Linked DNA regions of Drosophila melanogaster. The protein of the gene in region 1 interacts with the protein of each later gene in a biochemical or structural test. Each region holds a gene or a part of one and is shown on either strand. Other genes may lie near its edges.

Region 1 (4,987 bases):
TAAAGATAAGCCCACCCTCCATTAAAAAGAATTCATTTGAATATTTTTTTCATATTTTATATATTTTATTATTTTTTTTTTTTTGGTTTTTTTATGCGCACTTAATATATAAAATGAATATTGAATAATACTGAATGAAGCCAGATACTCACACTGAAATCCGAACGGGCAGAGCCAGGGGTAGTGCTCGAGATCGTCGGGAATCGGTGTAGGACCTGGAACGAGAACGCCCATGAGAACGACCACGCGAGTGACCACGGGAGCGACCGCGAGACCGGGAACGATCCCGCTTGCGGTCATCTCGCGTGTGTCTTCTCCGCGGCATGTGCCCCTCCTTCTCCGCCAGGATCAGCTCGCAGTCACTGTGGTCGGAACTGGAACTGGAAGATGAGCTAGTGTGATGACTATGACTATGATGTTTGCGTCCTCTGTGTCGTCGTTTACCTCCATCGGAGCTGCGGTGCTTGGACTTGGTCTCCTTGATGGAGAGTTGAGATTCCTGCTGCTGCTGCTTCTGGATCTGTTTCATCACATCGTTCAGCATTTTCTGGGCCATGTTGGCCTTTCGAATGAGACGCTCCATCGACGGCAAGGCCATGTCCTCGACTTCCACGGGCGTGGCATTTGGCAATTGGCCGCGGCATCCTTGACATGCATCCGGCCCTGCATTTGCCGCAGTTTGCTCACGTGCCACGTTATCGGATTGCGACATTTTTGCACTAGTTTACAACTGACCCGATAAGAAATTCACTCAACACTTTAATTACTGATTAACTACTGTTTCTCTGAACTGGATATAACTGCTGCGGAATCTGTTGCTTATGTTTCGACTGCTTCACTTGAACACTTGAATTTGACTGGCTTCTGCGGCATTCGGTCGATGAGCTTTTATAGGCAACTTTGGCGCCAAGCTAATCGCGACTTTCGGACTGTAAACATTTGCCTTTCTTTATCAGTCACATACTCATACAAACCACACGATAAATGTGACGTCATCTGAGCTATTTTTAACCAAATCGCATTCATGGGTTTTTGGGAAATTACTTCCATTGATCACGTGTTTTTAATGTTACATAATTTCATTGCCGAACGTAACCTCAAACATATTTCATATTTTTGCGAAATTCTTCTTACTTTTGTATTTCTGCATATTATATGCATTATAAATATTCTGCGTATTTTTATAAGCATACCTTTTATTATTTTTTACGATTTTGTGAAATATGACATTATTTTGATATAATTTTAATTTTGAATTTCGTCCAAGTGTGTAATTTTAAAACAATTATTTTATCGTTTTAAATCATCGAAAATTTTAAGAATATAAAGTATTAAGAAATTTACACAATTTTTTGAAAATGTTTTGGGATCTTAATAATTGCATAAATCAGGTTTAGCACATTATTTTAGAAATACTAAACGGTTAAATATTTTACAGAACTGCTATTTAATTTTAAGGTATAAGACTACGTATAAGACATTACCGCTTGAGACTAGTATTTTTATTGTGGTATTTTCATGATTGCTTTTGAATTGTGCCCGCCAAAATATGCAGTCTTAACCACAAGCGGTTAAAATCATTCCTTACGTTTACTTATATTTAAAAATCGACAAAAGGTATAATAATTCAAAACTATTAAAAAATTTTAAATAAAACTAAACGAGTCTAAGTTTTCTTAATCAAAATAGCTGTTAATATGGATAAGATATATTTGGCGCATCCAATAGATACATTTAACCGCTGAAGAGAATTAACAGTGTGATACGCCAGACTGTTAACAGACTGTTAAAACGCGATTTCCCGGCTTTGGTATTTTTACATTACCATCATTTGGTTTCTCTGATATTTTAAAAATCTATATAAGCAGCTCGCAACGCATTCTCTCTGTAATTTTTCGGGAGAGCGCAGCAGCGCGCGCTGTTTTTTCGGTTACCATTAAAAAATATTATTAAAGAAACATCGTTATAACTTTAATGCCAACGGAGTTGCGGCAATTGAAACTGATTTTTTAAGCAAACGAACAATAAATTCGACGTGGAGTGTGCTTCTGCTCGCCTACATGAAGTAATAGCGATGTATATTATGATTTAGTAAATATAAATCGATTTAATTAATATTTAAACTTGTTGTTTTCCGCGAGTGGGCGCGTTTTGTTACCAAGCCGCTATACGATTTTCGTTTTTCCGACTTTCCTGCGCGCCGAACGGGTTTTTCAACGAAGCCTTGCTGTCTTTTTCCTCGTAAGCAGCAAAAACAAGGCTGAAAAACTAAATTAAAGCGACTCGCTTCAGCTGCAGATTAATCGATGTGCGGCTATAGACTTTTAATTCGCAGATTCATCATCGATTTTTCCTTTGGGCTCAGCTGCAGTGCGCTAGTGTACGTGTATGTGCGTGTGTGTGAGTTGGTCCTGACAATACAAATAAGCCGTTGTGTTAGGTAAACGGAACAACAAAAGGAAGTGAACCAGAGAGAGAAAGAGAGAGAGGAAACGGCAGGACGATACCGAGTCCTTGAGCGATCATTCATGCTCTTCTTCTTCTCCAGCTGCAGCTGTCACGAAATTTCGCGCGTGCACGTGTATGTGTGTGTGTGGGAGACAGGGAGAACGCCGAAGTTAGTAATTTCTCTCCACTTCTCAGTGTTTGTGCATTCAATTTGCACAAAATTGAAGCGACGCGCTAAATTCGCAAATTTCCGTCCGCGAATTGCCATCCATTATTTTGCACTCCCCCCCAAGAGAGCGAGAGCAATAATAGAATTATCAGGCAAAGCAAAAAAAAAAATCAAAACTCAAGCGAAAAGAGAATGCCCTGGGAGGCCGTAATACCAATACCGCGACCCTCTGACATTTCCATCGTCGCCCACCAAAGGAACAACAACTGAGCGACAAAGACAGCAACAATCCGACAAACAAACAAACAAAACAGCAAACGAGCGAATCAACGAACGAAACTCCAGCAGCAGCCTCAACCTCCTCAACCGCTGGCACAGTTTTCCTCCTTCAACTCCAGCTCCGTGGGTGAGTAGCTACAGTGGAACGCCACTAAGTAGAACATTCTGCGAGTTCTAAGTTAAATTGCAGAGAATATCGCTTTGAGCACAAACTGATTAGAAATTGCCTTCACTTGGTCTTAGAAAGTTTACTAATACCAACTGATACATCGTTTTTTTGTTTGTTAATGTCAGTTTTAAATTGAAATCGATTAACAAATCTTAATGTCCTTTTTATATTTTTTTATAATGGATGTGGGATATGGGGGAAAGGCAAATGGCTCTTACGTGTAAAATTTTATAGTTTTTCCATAGCATTTAAGTACAATTAATTTTCTTTACGAAGAAAATGAAAGTTTTGCTTATGTAACAAGCCAAATTTAAGCAAATATTTTGTTTTTTGTATCAGGATAAAAGTTAAGCTTACCCAATCTCCACTGTAACTCATTGGCGGGTAGAAAGTGGTTATCGAATATGAGCTGCGTCTTATGTTGAAGCCACATCGTCGTGTGGGCGAGAGGGTGGTTGTGGTGGGTCAGAGGTGTGTTGGCGTCGTGCGGCTTTGGTTTTTAGCTGAAATTAAAAAGGTCAGGACCGCCGGACTGAGGGGCTTCCGGATTTTGTATCCTAGCCACGTAGTCCGCTTCATTATGCAGCGTTAACTTTGTATGTAAAAGCGTATATACGTATGTACATATGTACATACATATATGGATGTGGCAAGCGGTGAATATAATTTCAGTTGCATGACTTCGGCGATAATCGATTTTGAAGCGACGAAGCAATCAGGAAGAGTGCAATTTAATGTCAGTCCGTCACTCAGTCAGTCAAACAGTCACAACTTGACACACTGCAAAAAGTTATGCTGCAAAATGGAGGTCAGCATGACGTTTTTGCATTAAAGATACAAAGGGAAATGTAGCAAAAACCAAACTTTTTGCTTAAAAAGTTTGGTAATACTTAATGTTTGCATGGATTTAGGCAAGCAATTGCGTTTTAAGTTTACTTAGAAAAGTATATACATTTGTCAAGTAAATAGTATCAATGTGCTCAATCGATTCCCATTTCCTTGAATTAATAATTGGTATATGCTACCATTTTTCCGGCCTGCTTAAATGGCGTTTACCATATTCATAAGCGCCCCGGTTGATGGAGCAGCGGACATGTTAGCCGTTACTCCATAATGCGACAACTTGGCGACTTGAAGTGGGGGATGTCGTAATGGAGAGTGAGCTGAGGAAATCGCTAATTAAGCATCAATTAGTGCAGTTTCCGGTGCAAGAGCCGCTAGAAGCAAGCAAGCCACCGTTCTTGTACTTTCCACTCGTCGAACAAATCGTGTGACACATTTCGCTTTCCCACACACCAATTGGCGATAGGAGTTATCAGCACTTTTCAGCTTTAGCACTTCTTACCACTTTGGCTGGCCTGCCCCCTATCCCAAAAGATAATAACACATTGCATTTTCAATGTGTTTCCCCTGATATACATATACAAATGTGCCCGATTAGCGGGTATCTCAATAACAATGGCCGTAATTTATGATAAACAAGTTTTTGAAGTGTGCGAAATTTAGCAGCTCACTGATTTGAGCCTGTTTTTGGCGACACACCACACTCCGCTTGGTACCCCTTGTTCAAATGTTGCATTGTTTATAATCAGTAACGGACTCATAAGCGAACACATGTCTGGGTTGGTTTTCAAGGTCAGTTGAATGGCCAGATTCGCCTCGTTTGTGATTTGGCAACCCCATGGAAACACGATAAACGAGGGCAAACAGAGCTGAATTCAAGCTGCAGCCTCATCATCTCGTCTTTCTCCAGACAATGGCCATTCGGCTATACCATTTCAGAGGTTTATGCCTTGAGAGAACGCTTCTGGAGACGAAAACCCGGCCTGGACTGGAACCTTGCCAAGACACACTCGAGACGCGCGTTGACAATGAGCGAGGCTCTCAGGCGAGACTTTCAGGCGTCTCCAGATGCTTTCCAT
Region 2 (5,103 bases), on another chromosome or scaffold:
GGATACGTTTCTCTCAGTGTCCTTTTATGGCAGCTGCTCCGGCTGAACTGAGCTGAGCTGCGAGGCTCGTGCATTTCGTTAACGTGACAAAAATACATTGATTACATTTTTTTTAGCTGCACTCGACTCGGGGATCTGCGTTTTTGGGCTCTAGGAGCTAGGAGCTGGGATCTGGTAACTGGGAGCTGGAAAACTGGGTACTGGGTACTGGGAACTGGGACCTGGGCGCACGTCCGCACACTTGGCACATTTGTCAGGGCGACGCCGCGATGTAAACATCTTGCACGTAGGATCCGGGGTCCTTTTGCATCCTGGCTGGATGGCACGACAACTAGTTGTAGTTGGAATCGGAGTCCTCGTGCTGCACGGGGTCTTTGAACTGACAAATTACATTGACAACGAATGGGGCGAAATTCCATTCGTGTGCACTCTGAACTCCAACTCCTCTAGCTCCCCAGAACTGTCTCATTTTGTGAGGCTCCACACTGAAAAGTTTGGGGGTCAATGCCATGGCATTTCATATAAACAAAAAGTTAGGCATAACTGTCAGCAAGCAAATAAAATAAACAAATGTCAATAAATGACAATTGATTGTGCTTTTCAAAGTTTTCGGCCCAAACCATTATTAGTCAAATCAGATTGTCTATTTAGTTTACATTGTGTTAATGATTTAAAACTCTCGGTTTGGACACGATTTATTTGTATAGCCATTTGAAAATGGCATTTATTGTCATTTTTTTTTTTTATTGCTACGCGTTGTTAAAATTTCTTGAAAGGTGTCAATAGCAAACAGATGTTAAACGAGATACAGTATTGAATATTGGTTTTATTCTATGAATTTCGATCCTTCATAAGCGAAACATTGTTTTCATTTGTTAGTTTCAGTGCACTTTGTTCATTAGTTGTTTGTGGATTTAATTTGCTTACTTGGCTCTGTGCTTTTGCTTATTGTTTCAGTTAGTTTCGCAATTTGGAAACTATCTCAAATTGGCAATAGTGAAAAGAGCAAACACATCGTGGGCTCCTCTTAATTATTTTCACCGACGAACGGGTGGGCGATCGAACTCTTATGGCTGTAATAATTGGTGCAAAATTGTTCAATTGCCTAATTGCTGTCGATTGCTCATAATTTTTAGTGTAACACTGTGTATTTGTGGCACATTTTCGTTTTATGGCCACGAGCGTTCATGAATGAATGGGCTTTATTTACAGGGCATTTAAAAGTTTCGGGTAATCTTATCACCCAGAAGTGTTCAAACTTGCGCAAGTCATCAAACAAATTTCGAAACGGAAATACCAAAGGGTTGAAATAGTCTAAACGAAAAGATAACTGCCTTAAAATTGCGCCCAAAATTCGCACAAAATCGCAGTAACAATAACAAGCGAACCTAATCAAAAATCCAAAATCTCAGGCAGCTGCGCATGCGTAGCAGATGAAAGAGATAGCGAGAGATCGCACCTTTGAAAATGCTACCGGAACAGCTGGCGCAGAAGAGCGAGAGGGAAGACAGGAGTGAGTGATAAGAAATAGCAACAAAAGCGCATAAACCACCACCAACTACTACAACAACGAACGCGACAAAGCGAACAATGCTCTTCATTATGCCCGTTATTATTAAACAAATAGGGAGAGCGAAAGAGAGAAAGGTGAGAGCGCACCATGTTGATAACACACCCCGTGTAGCTAAAAGTTAGCCAGATTCACAATTAAAGGAGCTAGAAATGCTGATATATGCTCAATTTGATTTATGATCACCTATAAAAACTTGATACTGATAATAGCAGCTAATAATACTTTAATTTTCAGTACCTTAAGACACATAATTCAAAGTATGCACTCAATTAAAACATTGTATTAGATATCCTTAGCTAGAAAGTAGTCAAGCTGCCAGCACTGCCTACCTTACTCACCCAGGTAATTTGACTCCGACTCTCCGGCTTACTGCTCTCCCACCCCGGGAATTAGAAGTCTGAGTCGAAGTCGCCAACTGTAGCCGCTCATTCGATTCCCAGCAGTCGAAGCACGCAGACGCAACCGCTGCGATCGTCGCGAGATATTTGTGTTCGATCATTGTTTTCGTATCGTTCGGGTTAACCACGTTCGTTGAGTGTCGTGTCGACTTGTGTTTACCGTTGTGCAGTGTTAAACTATTTACGCTTTGTCTTGTGGGTGCAGCACCCCCACCACCCAGCCACCCACTACACATACGCACTGTCAAGTTTTGTGGTGCCCAAAAGTAATCAAATGACACGTGCTTGAAATACACATTTTACTATCCATCAGTGGCGGCCGAAACAACAACAAAAGCATAAGCCAAACTTGGGATTACCTCGGCATTGTTTATACAGGAAAGCGGTAAGTTTTGGCCACAATAAACCGTAAAGCACATTCGGAATGCTTTGACCCCAATAAGCTTAACAATAAACACAAATATTCAATACGATTCCGCATACGCCCCTCGTAATTACACATGCCTTAATTCACATAATCACAAACTACAGACATATGTATATATTTATGTACCTCCGCCCATTTATTGAAGTAAATTCCGATGGTTTTTATTTTTGCTCATTCGAGGACCTCGCTAAGCCGCGTTTTATGACTCAGGAGCCTCACAAAGTCAAAGTCGTCAGACCGCAAACTGATTTCGTTCGCTTTTCTCCGAATGTTCTTTATAACGTAGATCCCACAAATGAGTCATCCGTGCGCTTGGGGATACCGGAGTGGATACATAACTGCCTGAGATACGTATGTATCGTATAATTGGGGGAGGCAGTGGGCTAAGGTGACTGATCAGGTTGATGGGGAATGAATGAGCTGGGGGTGCTGGTGACTAAGCCCCCAGCATTGGATAACGCTAATTGGGTTGGGTAAAGAAATGTGTGCACACAGATGTGATAGTCTGCTGGCTAGGAAAGAGTCACCTCTAAGGCAGTTGTGAATGGGTTACATTGAATAACATTCCAGTCAGTCCTCAAAAATATCCAGTTATGTAGCTTGAAATAAAAAACATTTCTAAAAGAAGATTTTTAAGTTTCTTTGAATGTTTTGGTTGGTCTCTTACATTTTAATCAGCTTATGCATTTGAAGAAGTTGGCTTTCGCCACCTCGAATACTTGTTATCTCGACTCATCTGGAAACCTCAGAATATATCAGTGGCACGATTTCAATCTCACCGCATTGTGGTGTTTCGCAGATTTCCCTAATTTCAGTTTGCCCGCGCCTAATTGCAATAATCAAGGGAGCACCGCATAATCTCACTGATCTAGTTCCAGTTTAAGAGCGTTTCTGCGGTCTCGATGGCTCCATTAGAGTGCTAAACACCGGCCATTACGGCGGTCATCAGGAGAGGTGTTATTACCTGGACGTCTGGACGTGGAAACCAGTCGGCACTGGAAGTCACTCACCTGTTGCGGCCAAGAGATCGATATCATTGACAATTGGTGTCGACGGTAGCAGCAGTGGTATATAATGCCAGTTCGATATGTTGCTACCGTTAGATGGGAAATGCCAAAGCAATGATGATTGTCCATTTGAGTGGGATTAACGTTTAATTTGGCTTAGTTTATTGATTTTCCATCGAACAGGTCGGTTAAATGTCAGGGAATGTCGCGAAATGGAACATTTCGTCGATTGCATTTGCTAAACCATTTGCAACTCTTTGTTTTTTGCTCACTCATGTGTCAGTTTGACATTTTGCAACAATGGTCGATTCTATTGAACGGATTATGGCTGCCGCGACTTGAATAATTGCACGGTTTTAATGCGTTCATTCAGTTTTTTACATAATTAAATGATTGTTTAAAACTGATTTATTATTTAATTGTTTGCCACTCGAACGACAACAATTAATTATGCAATGGCGCAAAGATGCGATATAAATAAATAATAATTTCATTATAATCAATGCAACAGCTGCCAGTGGGCGCAAGTGATGCGCGGAAGGGGCGTGGCAAGCAATTAAAATTTATTACTCTTATTTTGCATTTATTCCATTTTAATTTGTCGTTTAAATGTCAAAACTATTAAAATAATTATGCTGGATGCCGGATTAATCAATGCTCTGGCCTTTGTCCAATCGATTTTGATCTGGTTGGGCCGTAACTTTTGGTTAATTAATCGGGGTTACGAGCGGGGAAATTTACCCCATCCACCCCATTCAACTTTCCCCCATTTCACCTTGTGTCCAATTTGTGCGGCTGACCCCAATGAGCCAAGTTCAGTTAACACTTAACCACCCCGCATATTAACTTAATTATCATGATTAACATTTTCTGTGTAATTTCTGTATTTTCGCTGGCCGTTCTCAGTTGAATTTTGCGATGCAATTCCCATTATTCGTACCTTTTAAACTGACCAGAACTTAAATTTGTTATTCAACACGCTTCCCTCGCTTTTTTTCTGTTTTTTTTTTTCTTGATTTGTTTATTATGAAATGCTTTCGATAACGAACCATTATCATATCTTCATGCGATATGGCAAAGAGTTCCGTTGATTTCTTTCTGTTTTCGCAGATTGAAGTGCATAAATTATTTTGTCTCTATTTTTAAATTAATTGGCAGATTGTCGCAGACTTTAGAATTCTATTTGGTCGCAAACTTGTTTGGCGACAACTCTATTAGGCATTTGCATATGAATTTCGACTGCCTTTTGTGCCTAATTAGCCGGCAAAAGTACAACGAACTTCGAAAATTGTCTTATTTTCTTAGTCACGAATTTAATGTACAATACATCAATTTCTACACTATGCAACACACCCAATTAAGTGCAATTTGTGACTTTGTGAGCCTCATTAACTCATCGCATCTCAGCTCAGCTATTTCTCCTCGTGGAAACCGGATTGTTAGCTAAACATTTTTTACATTACTTTGCCTTTGCCTACTAATGAGCAGAATTACTCATGACTGGCCCATGTAGATATAAATATCGATTGAGGGGCTGTTTTTCAATCAATTTAAACGGCGTGCCGTGGCAGGGGGAGGTGGTAATGAGACAAACGAACCACAGAAAAATTCAGTGGTCAAGGGCAGAGGGTCCTGAAATGCCTTCTTCACCGGCTTCGCTGGCTAATCCAATTAGAATTGCGCCGTCGGCTGGGAAGT

The links.
Region 2: the proteins of corn (region 1) and insc form a complex in vitro, tested with the Drosophila melanogaster proteins (one study listed by BioGRID).

Annotation. Positions count from the first base shown.
Region 1 is NT_037436.4:7,153,972-7,158,958, reverse strand, and holds the start of corn (cornetto), read left to right. Parts: upstream 1-1,885; 5' UTR 1,886-3,023; intron 3,024-4,987. Other genes in the region: CG8620 (uncharacterized protein), read right to left, coding at 149-712.
Region 2 is NT_033778.4:20,832,923-20,838,025, reverse strand, and holds the start of insc (inscuteable), read left to right. Parts: upstream 1-1,997; 5' UTR 1,998-2,356; intron 2,357-5,103.